Linked DNA regions of Solanum lycopersicum. The protein of the gene in region 1 interacts with the protein of each later gene in a pairwise test. Links are inferred from orthologs where the notes say so. Each region holds a gene or a part of one and is shown in the gene's direction. Other genes may lie near its edges.

Region 1 (3,653 bases):
TATATTAAGTAACAATTTAACTATAAAATGTCTATTTTACCCTTAATGATTTACAGCCACACAAATTTCTATCGTTCATTTCAGACCACAAGTTTTAAAAGTCTTCCTTTCTTTGTTCCTTTCTTAACTCCGTGGCGAGTCAAACTACCTCACATAAAATGGGACGGAGGGAATATTTTTTTGATAAAGATTTATAAGCCCAACAAAACTCCAAAGTTTAGAATAGACACAAACTTGGAAAGGCAACCGAAAAAATTGAATAAAAAGATAAAAGCTGAATCATAGCTAGCTTTTGGTTTGGTTTATGTATTTACAAAAAGAAAGATTGGATGACCAAATTCACCCTTTTTTCTAACTGTTTCTCTTTGTTGCTGAAGCCTTTTCTTCTCATATAATAACTGAAGGACTTGATTATATGACAAGAGTATGTGTTATCATCTCCAAACGTGGAAGAAAGAGGCAATAACACGACCCTTCTGGATGAAATAACCTACTGTCCTACTCATTAAGCAGCTATAGTCAACACTCTGAAGCCAAAATGGCACTACTGCTATTAAACTGTATTTTGGGTATTAAGTTGGTCTTAATGCTTTTTGTTGCTCGTGTGCTTGCCTGTGCTCATGAATGCTTCAATGGCACGTAAGTTGTGCAGACTCTTTACTTCGGTGCTGCATCTGTGTCAACACGACATGGGTGTGGGTGTGGGATCTGTACCGGATAACGGTCAAACAATTTTGGGTGCTTTGACCTAGAACAATAGAGAAATTTGAGATAGATACGAAGATTTCTAATTCAAACTTAATATGTACTTAACAATAATTTGAACTTGCTGTTGAATATTCGTGCATTCCTTCCTTTCAAATTGTCAACCATAATTTAGGAATACTTTTATTTTGATACTTGAATTACTTGTAGCCAAATCCGCACACCTGTTTTTGTGCTTAGATCTGTACCTCAAATCTTATAACGGATCTTAAAGTTTACATCATGTAGGATCCAACCGTTCTATTGTGCTATTTGGTTGTATATTTTTCTTGCTATCCTGCTCCCATGACATTCCTTTTGAGCCAAGGGTCTATCGGAAACAACCTCTACCCCATAAAGGAAGGGCAAGGTCTACGTACTTCTACCCTCCCCAGACCTTGTTGTGGGATTACACGGGTATGTTGTTGTTGAAGGATCCAACCTCTAGATTTGCACCCGTATCAGACCCTTGCACCAGAGTCCGAGCAACTTATAGTAGCATGATATACTTTGCTACCTTGGGTAAGACACTTTATAGAAACCCAACCTACAAGTGATATTATCCGCTTTGGGCCCGGATCTGCGTGGCTTTAAAATGCATCACTAGTGTCTAAAGCTTGCTTCCTTATATACCCAACATCTCTCCCTTGTTTTATCAATGAGAGGTTCACCTCCTATCATTTTCAGTAAAACTAATTTGTCGGCCATTTAGTCTAGGAATAATATGTCAAACATTATCTGTGAGCTAGAAGCATTCACAGTCTCACACTTCTCTAGTTTTGATAGTTGAAAGTTGAAACCATAATGCAATTTCACAAAAAAAAAAAAAGAAGAAGAAGAAGCTGAAATCATAATGCAATGTGATCCACCTTTGATGAGGCAAAAGGTGAGCACCTTTCTGGTATTGCAATTTTGTCCTTTTGAAAACTTAAATGAGCTTAACTATTTGTGTTTTGAGGTAGTCAAGTTTATAATGGTATCATTCTTTTAAATATACAGCAAAGTGATACTTCATAAGGAAGCATTACTTCCCTTTGCAAATATTATGAGAAAAAAAAATATCTTCATGCATTTTATTGCATTCAGCCATTGGTAATGCCATAGTCTATTAGTTTCTTGAGGAGCAACAGATGAACCATTTCTAATCATCTTAGTGATCTCAAGGTATATACTTCAATCTTGCAGGATCAGTGTAGGAAGAATGCCTGGAAAGAATGAAAGTCCTCATGGAGATGTTGGAAGTTCGTATCAGCGAAAAGGTGCCTGTAAATTTGAGCTAGTACCATACTGTTCTTGTATCATTCTTCAAATATTTTCTAATATAAATCTTCTCAGATGATAAGGCAGCAGGACAAGGTCCATGGGGTCAACATGATGCTGGAGGGACTCCATTATCCACTGAAAGTGTAAGAGCTGCTGCTAAAGTTGGTCTTGCAGCTGCAGCTGTAAAATCAAAGCTTTTTGCTGACCATGAAGAACGTGAGATTCAGCGGTTATCTGCAAACATAGTCAACCATCAGGTGATCTGCTGATACTGTAGTTATTCATCTCCGCTTGGCCTCCTGTTGAGTCCATTTCATCCTCTTTCTTCGCGTTTTGCTTGGTTGAGTCTTTATTGACATCTTTTACTTTCGGGCATTTAGGTTTTGCCAAGTATTCGGGCCATTATAGGTGCATTACAATGGTTTTGAAGAACTTCTGCTGAAGTTTGTTTTTTTGTTGCTAGTAGTGATACTTGGGTTAAAAAAAAGTTGGAAGAGTTCGGGTTTGAGGGATGTAACTGGAGAGCTGTGGTTTGAGGTTCTGATTAGTTCATCATAAATTCATAATAAATACCTTATGTGGATAAATTCATAATTCATGATACAAACTAGTTGAGAATTGAGATCAACTTTATGAATCTTTATTCATTCCACTCTGTTCAAAGCACATTTTATTTCAACACTAGATAATTTACCTCACAAGGATTTCTCTGTCACATCACAGTTATATCTAGATTTGTGGACTTCTGAGATAATGTGTCTCCACTTGATTTTAGGTTTTACCTCGTTCTCTTCTATCACCTTCAATCATCATATGATATGACCAAGGTCTGGTGTATAGGAAGGTCTGCATAGGACATGGTTTGTTATAGTTAACTTTCTACTCTGTATGAATTTGGTAAAAAGATCAAATTTCTATGTGAAGAAAATGATCATCTGACCTATGTCAACCCTAAATATAAGTTCATGAGGTGCTACTGGTCCAAGACCATATAATCTGATAACAATCCATTCCCTCAACCAATGTAGGACATTCTAACACACCCAAATTCGGACATTTGGAGTGTCCACAACATACCATGGGATAAACCAATAATAGGGATGGGTCTTGACCCGATTATTCAAAGAAAATAGATCTTGGGCCAACCCAAAATCTAGGTGGAAGTTGAGGATTGTTCAAGACCATATAAGGAGACAACAACTCATTCCCTCACGTGGGGGACATTCTTACATTATGATGGTAGAGAATGTAATGCCAGTAATATAAATTGTTGATAAATTTCAAATTCTCCTTGGAAGGTAATCATTGGATACTACTACTCCCGTCCCAATTTATGGGATATACTTCCTTTTTAGTCTGTCTCAGAAAGAATGTCACCTTTCTGTAATTAGAAACAATTTAGCTTTGTTATTCCCCTTTTACCCTTTAATGAAATGATTTATAGCGACACATGTCTAAGGCTTCCTTTTTCCCTAAACTTTGTGCCTAAGTTGTACCACATAAAGTGGGAAGGAAGGAGTATGATTTTTCTTGTGTTTGCTTGATATTTTTGAAACCGTAGGCATGAAATCAATGGTAAGTAACTTAAATAATTACCACTTCTCACCCGCATTCCTTCTAGCCCCAAGAGAAACAAGATAGAAAAT
Region 2 (4,136 bases), on another chromosome or scaffold:
TAACAATCTCTTATGGCGTCCAAATAAGTAGTCTCTTTTCATGATTAGTTCAATTAATTTTTTCATTTGGTGCCAGCTTATATTTGCAATACTTAAGTATTTGAATTTGCTTAAAGGTCCTTTATGTGGTAAGCAGTCCCGTTTCAGTGCCATTTGCATGTCATCAATATGAATTGAAGCTGCTGAGGAGAATTAATGAAACTCTGAAATAATCTACTAATTTGATATGCAGCCCTTTAAAAAAAGGAAAAAGACACTAAAAAGTAATTTGGTGTATGTAGATTATGTAGCAAGGTTATCCTTCTCCTAGATATCACATATTAAAAAGCTATCAAACCTTTTCTAGTCTTAACGTCATTTGCGTTGATGCAGGTTATAAAAAGTCATACCCACACCATGAGAGCTCAATGTCTGAGTCGCTCCTGATGATTGAGTGAGGAAACATGGAAGTTGCGGATTGCACTTCCTTCAACATCATGTATCTAGGCCCTTGCATTCTGCTGGTTTCAGGATCACTGGCAGAGAGTCATGCATTTGAGGGATACTGGAATAGGTTTCTGGCTCCCTCCTTGTAGCAATAAACTTTGTAAAAAATTCACATCAGAATCAACCTGTGATTCAGTTATAGTCAAAAACTCCCAGAATATGCTTTTGGGTGTGTAGATAGTCATTGTCTTGCGTGCTGGTGCACCATGCACCGTGTTTAAAAGTCTTGTGCATAAAAAACAAACAAGCTTTAGTCTTAAACTTGAGATTCATTCTGTAATTTGGATGTTTTATTGATGATTCTTGAAGCAAGAAGCTTCAGTTATTATCACCAAGGTTGGTGTGACATGACCATAATTTTGGGTGCAAAAGCAGTGTTGCATCATTTATTTGTGTTTGGTACTCAGAGCAGACTTTGCCAATGAAGTTTATATTATTCATTCCCCTTTAACCTATTCTGTTGAATATTACATCAACCATGTCAATGTCTCAACTCTCAAATTTGCGTTTGCTGTTCCTTTTCCTATATATTCAAATCTAGTTTTGTTTCATGATTCAGGTTTAGTGATTTAGTTGTCTTTCTTAAGGATTGCAAATCTCTTTCATACAAGGTATTATTCTTGTTTATAGCAATCTATCGGTCGATGTAAAACCCACAAAATAAAAATTAATAGGACGTTTGAGTTGTAATTTAGACATTAATAATTATTAAGTGTTTTTTTTTTTTAATTTAAAAAGGACACAAGCAAACCTATTACTAACTAAGCTATTGGTCAAAATAAAATTGGCCCTTCGTATAAATAAAACCTTATAATTGTCTGTTGATAGACCGTTTGTGCGTTTCATCTCCCAAATGCCTTGAGATTACACTTGTCTAAATTCTAACGCTTCAACATGCCCGAATCAGGCGAAATCAAGTCACAGGCAGCTAAATCTGACCCTCAAACTACCTCTCCGCCACCGTCGCAGCAACCTCAAACGGCTGCTTTGCCACTAAAGCGTCCCCAACAACTGGAATCGTCCCCAAACCCAACAACTCCTTCAGTCACCGATCCCAAAGACGTCACTCCCACCACTATCTCCTCCCGTATTACTGAACCTGATTTCATCTATATTCCCAGTTATTCCCGTAAGTCCCATCTACTTTTCAGCTTTTCTTTTCAAATTTGCTTCTGTATTTTTAGGGTGGAATGGATATAGATGATTCGTGATACTTAATTAGTTCTTCTTCTTCTTTTAGGTTGGTTTTCATGGAATAGCATTCATGAATGTGAGGTTCGCTTTCTTCCTGAATTCTTTGATGGAAGGTCGCCTTCCAAGAACCCTAAGACATACAAATACTATAGGAATACTATTATTCGTAGATTCAGAGATAACCCCACTAAAAAGATAACCTTTACTGAGGCTCGCAAGACCATTGTTGGAGACGTCGGCTCAATTCGTAGGGTTTTCGATTTCTCAGAGACATGGGGTTTGATCAATTACACTGCTAACTCTTCCAAGTCTCTGATCAAGTGGGAAGAAAAAGAGTCAAAGTCAACATCTGCCTCAGCTCCGCAAAATGCTGACGCCAATGGAACGTCCACTGATTTTACTCTCCCCAAGAAAAGAATCTGCAATCTCTGCAAAACAGTTTGCAGGATTGCTTGTTTCGCTTCTGATAAGGTGATTGCAACAGTCCTCTATTTTAGAGTGTTTGCTTTATCTTGTTTATTCGTAAATTAGAAGGACTAATTGGTATCTAACAACTCTTTTGAATCAAGTTTGAATCTTTTAGCTTCTCCTCAGTTGGTCATGCTTACCTCTTAGCTCTCACATCTCAGTCTATAGATTCATACTTTTCATAGCTCATGGTTTCTATTTAAAAAGTTCTCTTCTTTTTTTTTTCTTTTTTTTTTGCTTAATCCTAAATGGCAGTTTACTTGAGGTGTTGGTTGGGCTTGTTGCTATTGTCAAAAATGAGTTTACTTCAATTTTTGTTTGTTTAAATGCAGTATGATTTGACTCTTTGTGCAAGATGCTATGTTAGTAATGATAATAGAGTTGGCGTGAATAATTCAGAGCTTCGACGGGTTGAGATTAGTGAGGAAGTTAAGACAGATTGGACTGACAAAGAGACTTTGCACCTTTTAGAAGCTCTTATGCATTATGGCGATGATTGGAAGAAGGTTGCTGAGCATGTTGGTGGCAGAAGCACTAAGGAATGTGTGGCTAGATTTGTCAAGCTTCCTTTCGGTGAGCAGTTTATGGGCCCTCCTGAATCTGCAGAAATGGATAGTGAATCCAGGTCTGAAACTATGTATCTTCAATCTAAGAGAAGGCGCCTCACACCCTTTGCTGATACAAGCAACCCAATTATAGCACAGGTACTAAGTCACATTTCTTATTACATGGATGTTTTAGGATGTTAGATCAGTGTTTGGGAAGCAAGAAGCAAAAAACAGCGACAAGGGTTCGCTTTACAGAAGCGAGAAGCGTGAAGTTTGCGCACACTTTTTTCAGATAAAGCGGTATTTAGTATAAAAATAATAAAAAATATTAAATAACTGAATAGAAGTAACATATTCCTAGATTAAAAAGTAAATAGATTGTCAATAATCCTCGTGAGTCATAACATATAAAACAAATACATAACCAAATCACAAAGGATCAAACTCTTATTCTTCATTGTGACATTGAATAAGAAAATACAACTTACTACAAGCAAAGATAAAAGAGTAACTCAGTAATAGAACAACAAAAATACTGTAGAAAAAAATATAGAGACAGAACAGATCAGCAGCCAGCAAAAAAGAAAAAAAAAAGAAAAAAACAGAGCAGCAGTAAGTCAGTTAGATATACATGTTCTATTTAGTATTGTGGACCTTGAATATTAAAAAGAAACTGGACATCTGTTAAGTGCTTGTGCATACAATATTCCCTTGGATACTTTGCAAGTTCAATGTAGTTGCTGAAGCAATTCCAATTTCTACGCTATCAAGGGAACTTCGGTTCCCATCTGACTTTGAATTATTTACGTAGATCTTAAGACGTTCTGCTGAAGCAATTTCAATTTCTACACAATCAAGGAAACTTTGCTTCTCATCTTACTTTGATATGTTATATAGATCTAGGGTCATTCTTCTCCCTCATTGACTAAGAGTCTTTTGGGCTGCTGATTTCTTGAAGTAGACAAGTTGATTAATTAGGTCTTTAATAATAGTCAAGTTAGACTTCAACTGATTCCTCTTGTTTTTGAATCTTGCTGCAGGCTGCTTTCCTCTCTGCTCTTGCTGGAAAAGAAGTTGCAGAATTAGCAGCACATGCCGCTGTTACTGCTTTGTCTGAGATTGGTGAAGGAATAACAACAGGGAGTCTAGAATCTGTACTCTGTGGTGCAGAGCGGCAAGGTATCCCTATTATTTGTTGTGGTTTCAACAGAGAAATCCCTATTACTGCAAACTTTTTTGATAAGAGTACTACTGCAAACTTTAGACATATGGGGTGTCAGCTTCATAAGAAAGGAGTTTGTCTAAAGTGAAATCTGATGCAACTCTTGTCTCTTGGTTTGTGCAGTAGTATTAGCGCATTTGCAATGTTAATTAATGCGTCTTCTTGGTGCATTGTTTGCTGCATTCTTTGACAACAACTTTTGGAATGTAAAATGCCAA
Region 3 (4,098 bases), on another chromosome or scaffold:
GTCCAATAGAGTAAAATAAAATACGTGTAAATAATCTATTTAGATTTTTAGGATTCAAATATCTCTTTTCACGATTTCCTTTTCATAATTATAGTTGCCAAAACAATATTTATCAATTTATGTGATTTTCTTTTATACATTCATATTTATACAATTCAGACAAAAATCAGTTAAAATTCGAATTGTAAAATTCTGAAGTTATGCTCTATATAATAATTTTTCAAATAAAAAGTCGAATGAATTCCTTTCGCGCATATTTCAATAAATAAATTATTTTACTTTTAATTTAACATTTTTTTATAACATACATAAAATAAAATATATGTTAAAATTAATATTTCTTAAATTGGTATTATTTTTTATTCTTATTATTATTATACTAAAAAGAGACTGAAAATGCAAAGCCAAATAGGAATATCCGTCGACACACGTTATTACGTAATCAGATTTCCATATATTATAAAATGTTGGTATTTTGGTAAATATTACGTTTTCTGAGGTTAAATGAATTCCACTAACCTAACCTCTCTATACCTTAACCAGCCCTTAACCCAAGGTAAACCCAAGTTGTTGAGCAAAAAGACAACAAAAATTTAAAAGAATCCATACATACAAATTACAAAAATAATTACAAAAACAAAAATGTAACCAGTTCCAAAATAGTATTCAAAATTAATTTAATTGATTATCAACATTAAATTAAATTAAAAATTTAGATATTTAATTTTTTTTTTATAAAAGTACAATAAATTGTAAATTTTCTCCATATCTATATGATAAAAATATACAATATTTATATTATTTGATTTCTTAAAAGAAGAGTGATAAATTTTTTACCAGTCAAAAAATCTTTTATAGCGTTCACATAATTACTTGTAATGTAATAATATAGTCTCACTATAGAAAAATAATCACATCAATTATAAAGGTATTTATTTATTTAAATAATAATGATATCTATTAATCATGATATGATAAAATAATAAATACTTATTATCATGCTATAACAAGTTAAATTACCATATTTTAGATTTTGAGTTTCACAAGCTCATTAATCATCGCACATTTTTCATTTTTCATTTATATTACTTCTTTATATGACTTTTTTAATTTCATATTCATAATATATATGTCAATTTACACGTATATAATTTATTTATTATTGCTCATCAAATACATTAATAGAATCCATTAAAACTTAGATAAATAGAAAACTCTTTTAAGGGGAATATAATTTACAAAAATATTGCAAATTTTTTCACAAAATTAATTTTTTTTTTTCAAATCTCTAAAAATTGTTTGTTGTCATTTTAATGTAATAGGAGTAAAAAAAAAAAAAGGGAAAAAGGAGAAGCACATAGAAATAACAGCTGTTAGGGCTTGGACTAAAAATGCAAACTGCGTGAAAATTCACACATACACACACCAGACAGCATATATAGAGAGAGATTCCGGCAACTTCGGAAGATCGCCGGCGACTTTTCCGATCTTATCATAGGCCCACAGATTCGCGCCAAAATCCATTCACCATTACCCTCAGCAAAATTCTCGGTAGCTTTTTTTATCAAGAAAATAAGGAAATTATACATACAGGAAAAAAGAGAGAAAATTTTTATAGATAAAGTACAGTTGTGTGGGACAGAGAGGTGTAGAGAGTGGTGAGGTAAGGGGGGTGGGTGGTTGATTTGAACCTTGGGGATCGGGGAAAGTGGGAAATCTTGGGTTTTAGGAAACTACAGGGGTTTCCACTGAAATTAATGTTTCATTACTTATTTTCTTGATGATGGGGTTCTGAAATTAATCAATTAAATTTCAGGTGAGTTGCAACATTTTTGGAGGAAATAGAATTTTTTGCTGAATTTTCAAGGGTGCATGCAATCTGGGGGTGGAGCTCAGCAAGGTGGTGTCGCCGGCGCCGGTGGTGGACATGGGCGGAACACGGCGGCATCAGCCTCAGCTTCTCCAACATCATCTTCTTCTGCCTCTCATATGGGGTTGGATCAGCAGCAGCTGCATCAACAGCATCAGCGGCAGGTTAGGGTTAACAACTTTTTTTCTGAATTTTACTTGTGCTTTTGAGGAAGAGGGGGTGTTTCAAGTGGCATTTTGTTTTTTTCTGAAGTAGGATTGATGTTTGTTATTCTATTTTGGAAGTGGGTTTCGCATAAGACATCAAGTTCTTTTTTTTTTTGTATGATGTTGTTCAACACTAGGTTTGAAGTGACATGAATTTGCTTGCTATGTGAAAGACATTCTTTTTCTTGTTCAATTAGCACTGAGATGCCAGCTGCTAAACTACTTAAGCTTTGGAAGTAGGAGGAATTTGAAAATCTTTGTATGAAGGAGAGAGTGATTTGCTTTTTGTAAGAAAGAGCATTTTTTGTGCTGAAAAATGTATTAGCGCTTGTTGATTTTTAGAGTTATCCAAAATTCACTTTTCAGAGAATTAACTCTGTGTATCTTAGTCTTCCCTCTAATGGAAGTGTTAAGTTCCACCAAGTACGTATTGTCTAGCATGTTGTGATTCCTATTTTTCTTTTTCTTGATAGATAGTTCCACCTTTTCTTCCTTATTTTAAGTGCTCGTCTCTGCCAGGTCTTTAATATTTTAACCTTGACCTATTCAAAAGGTTTATATTTCCAACAGTATTGGAAGTTAATGTGATTCTTAGCTGCAATGATGTTCTCAACTCATACCAGATTAACTGTCATTGCTTCGGTTATGGAATGCAATCTTCTATTTCGTCCATCCACATGACACATTTTGTCCATGTGATTCTTAACTGCAATGATGTTCTCAACTCATACCAGATTAACTGTCATTGCTTAGGTTATGGAATGCAAACTTCTTTTTCGTTCATACATGATATGACACATTTTTTCCATGTGATTCTTAACTGCAATGATGTTCTCAACTCATACAAGATTAATTGTCATTTCTTAGGTTATGGAATGCAAACTTCTATTTCGTCCATACATGATATGCCACATTTTGTCCGTGTGATTCTTAACAGCAATGATGTTCTCAACTCATACCAGATTAATTGTCATCTCTTAGGTTATGGAATGCAAACTTCTATTTCGTCCATACGTGATATGCAACATTTTGTCCATGTGATTCTTAACTGCAATGATGTTCTTAACTCATACCAGATTAATTGTCATTTCTTAGGTTATGGAGTGCAAACTTCTATTTCGTCCATACATATGACACATTTTGTCCAAATTTGATACTTAATGATACTCTGAAAAGTTGTAATTGTCCTCATTTCTAAAATTTTACTGTATTTGATTTCTGAGTTGATTATCCTTAACAGGAAACACATTTATTAAAAGTGAACTGAAGAAGACGAATTGCAGCACAGGACGAAATAAGATGTTGCTTAACTAAACCAGAGTATTTTTGTCCAATATGTGCATAGAATGCTGCAAATTTCCCGAGAAATTCTTTCATGCTTTTGACTGGCAGTATTTGTCCTTCAGAATGCTGCAAATTTCCCTAGAAATTCTTTCATGCTTTTGACTGGCAGTATTTAACCTTCAGCATTATCAACTTTGTCAGTCATACCAGTTTCTCTCGAGTTTCTTGTATGCTATATTGTTATAATATTTTTCCATGTACTTTTGTTGCGTTGTTTGCTTCCAACTACTGATGTCTGGAGAGATTGTTGTTCCTTTTTTTAAATTATTTTTGAAACAATATTTTACCAGGTATGTTTTCAAATAAAGTGTCAAAACTTGTTATGTTGAATCATGATAGCTGCTCTTTTCGAACTGATTTGTGTTTAATCTTAGTGTCTTATTATGTTCCCCTGCTGAAAATATCGTGGTGGCTTATTGTCAAAAATAAGGAAGATCACAATAATCTAGGTCTTATTTAAATTACTCACCTTCTTTTATAAATAACTTTTACATATCACTTATCGGATATTCGTTTTGTAGTCATTACAACAACAGTTACTTAGAAGGCCTGAAGGAAACGAAGCTATTCTGGCCTTCCAGACTGGCAGTCCCCATGGAATTTTAGGTGGGGGTAATTTTGTTGGACCTTCTGGATCCATGCAGCTGCCTCAGCAGTCGAGGAGGTATATTGAACAGC

What was found.
Region 2: the proteins of SWI3C (region 1) and SWI3B interact in binary tests that used the Arabidopsis thaliana proteins (3 or more experiments, as listed by UniProt). The link is inferred for Solanum lycopersicum from reciprocal best matches to the Arabidopsis thaliana genes SWI3C and SWI3B.
Region 3: the proteins of SWI3C (region 1) and ATP-dependent helicase BRM interact in a two-hybrid assay, tested with the Arabidopsis thaliana proteins (3 studies listed by BioGRID, with this or other methods). The link is inferred for Solanum lycopersicum from reciprocal best matches to the Arabidopsis thaliana genes SWI3C and BRM.

Annotation. Positions count from the first base shown.
Region 1 is NC_090805.1:40,538,053-40,541,705, reverse strand, and holds part of SWI3C (SWI/SNF complex subunit SWI3C), read left to right. Parts: intron 1-1,929; coding exon 1,930-2,003; intron 2,004-2,079; coding exon 2,080-2,264; intron 2,265-3,653. UniProt on the Arabidopsis thaliana protein: Component of a multiprotein complex equivalent of the SWI/SNF complex, an ATP-dependent chromatin-remodeling complex, which is required for the positive and negative regulation of gene expression of a large number of genes.
Region 2 is NC_090803.1:68,202,523-68,206,658, reverse strand, and holds the start of SWI3B (SWI/SNF complex subunit SWI3B), read left to right. Parts: upstream 1-1,312; 5' UTR 1,313-1,380; coding exon 1,381-1,615; intron 1,616-1,726; coding exon 1,727-2,151; intron 2,152-2,480; coding exon 2,481-2,852; intron 2,853-3,736; coding exon 3,737-3,875; intron 3,876-4,136. UniProt on the Arabidopsis thaliana protein: Component of a multiprotein complex equivalent of the SWI/SNF complex, an ATP-dependent chromatin-remodeling complex, which is required for the positive and negative regulation of gene expression of a large number of genes.
Region 3 is NC_090800.1:82,012,475-82,016,572, forward strand, and holds the start of ATP-dependent helicase BRM, read left to right. Parts: upstream 1-1,232; 5' UTR 1,233-1,551; exon of another isoform or gene 1,552-1,663; intron 1,664-1,816; 5' UTR 1,817-1,872; coding exon 1,873-2,034; intron 2,035-2,943; exon of another isoform or gene 2,944-3,941; coding exon 3,942-4,098. UniProt on the Arabidopsis thaliana protein: ATPase subunit of a multiprotein complex equivalent of the SWI/SNF complex that acts by remodeling the chromatin by catalyzing an ATP-dependent alteration in the structure of nucleosomal DNA.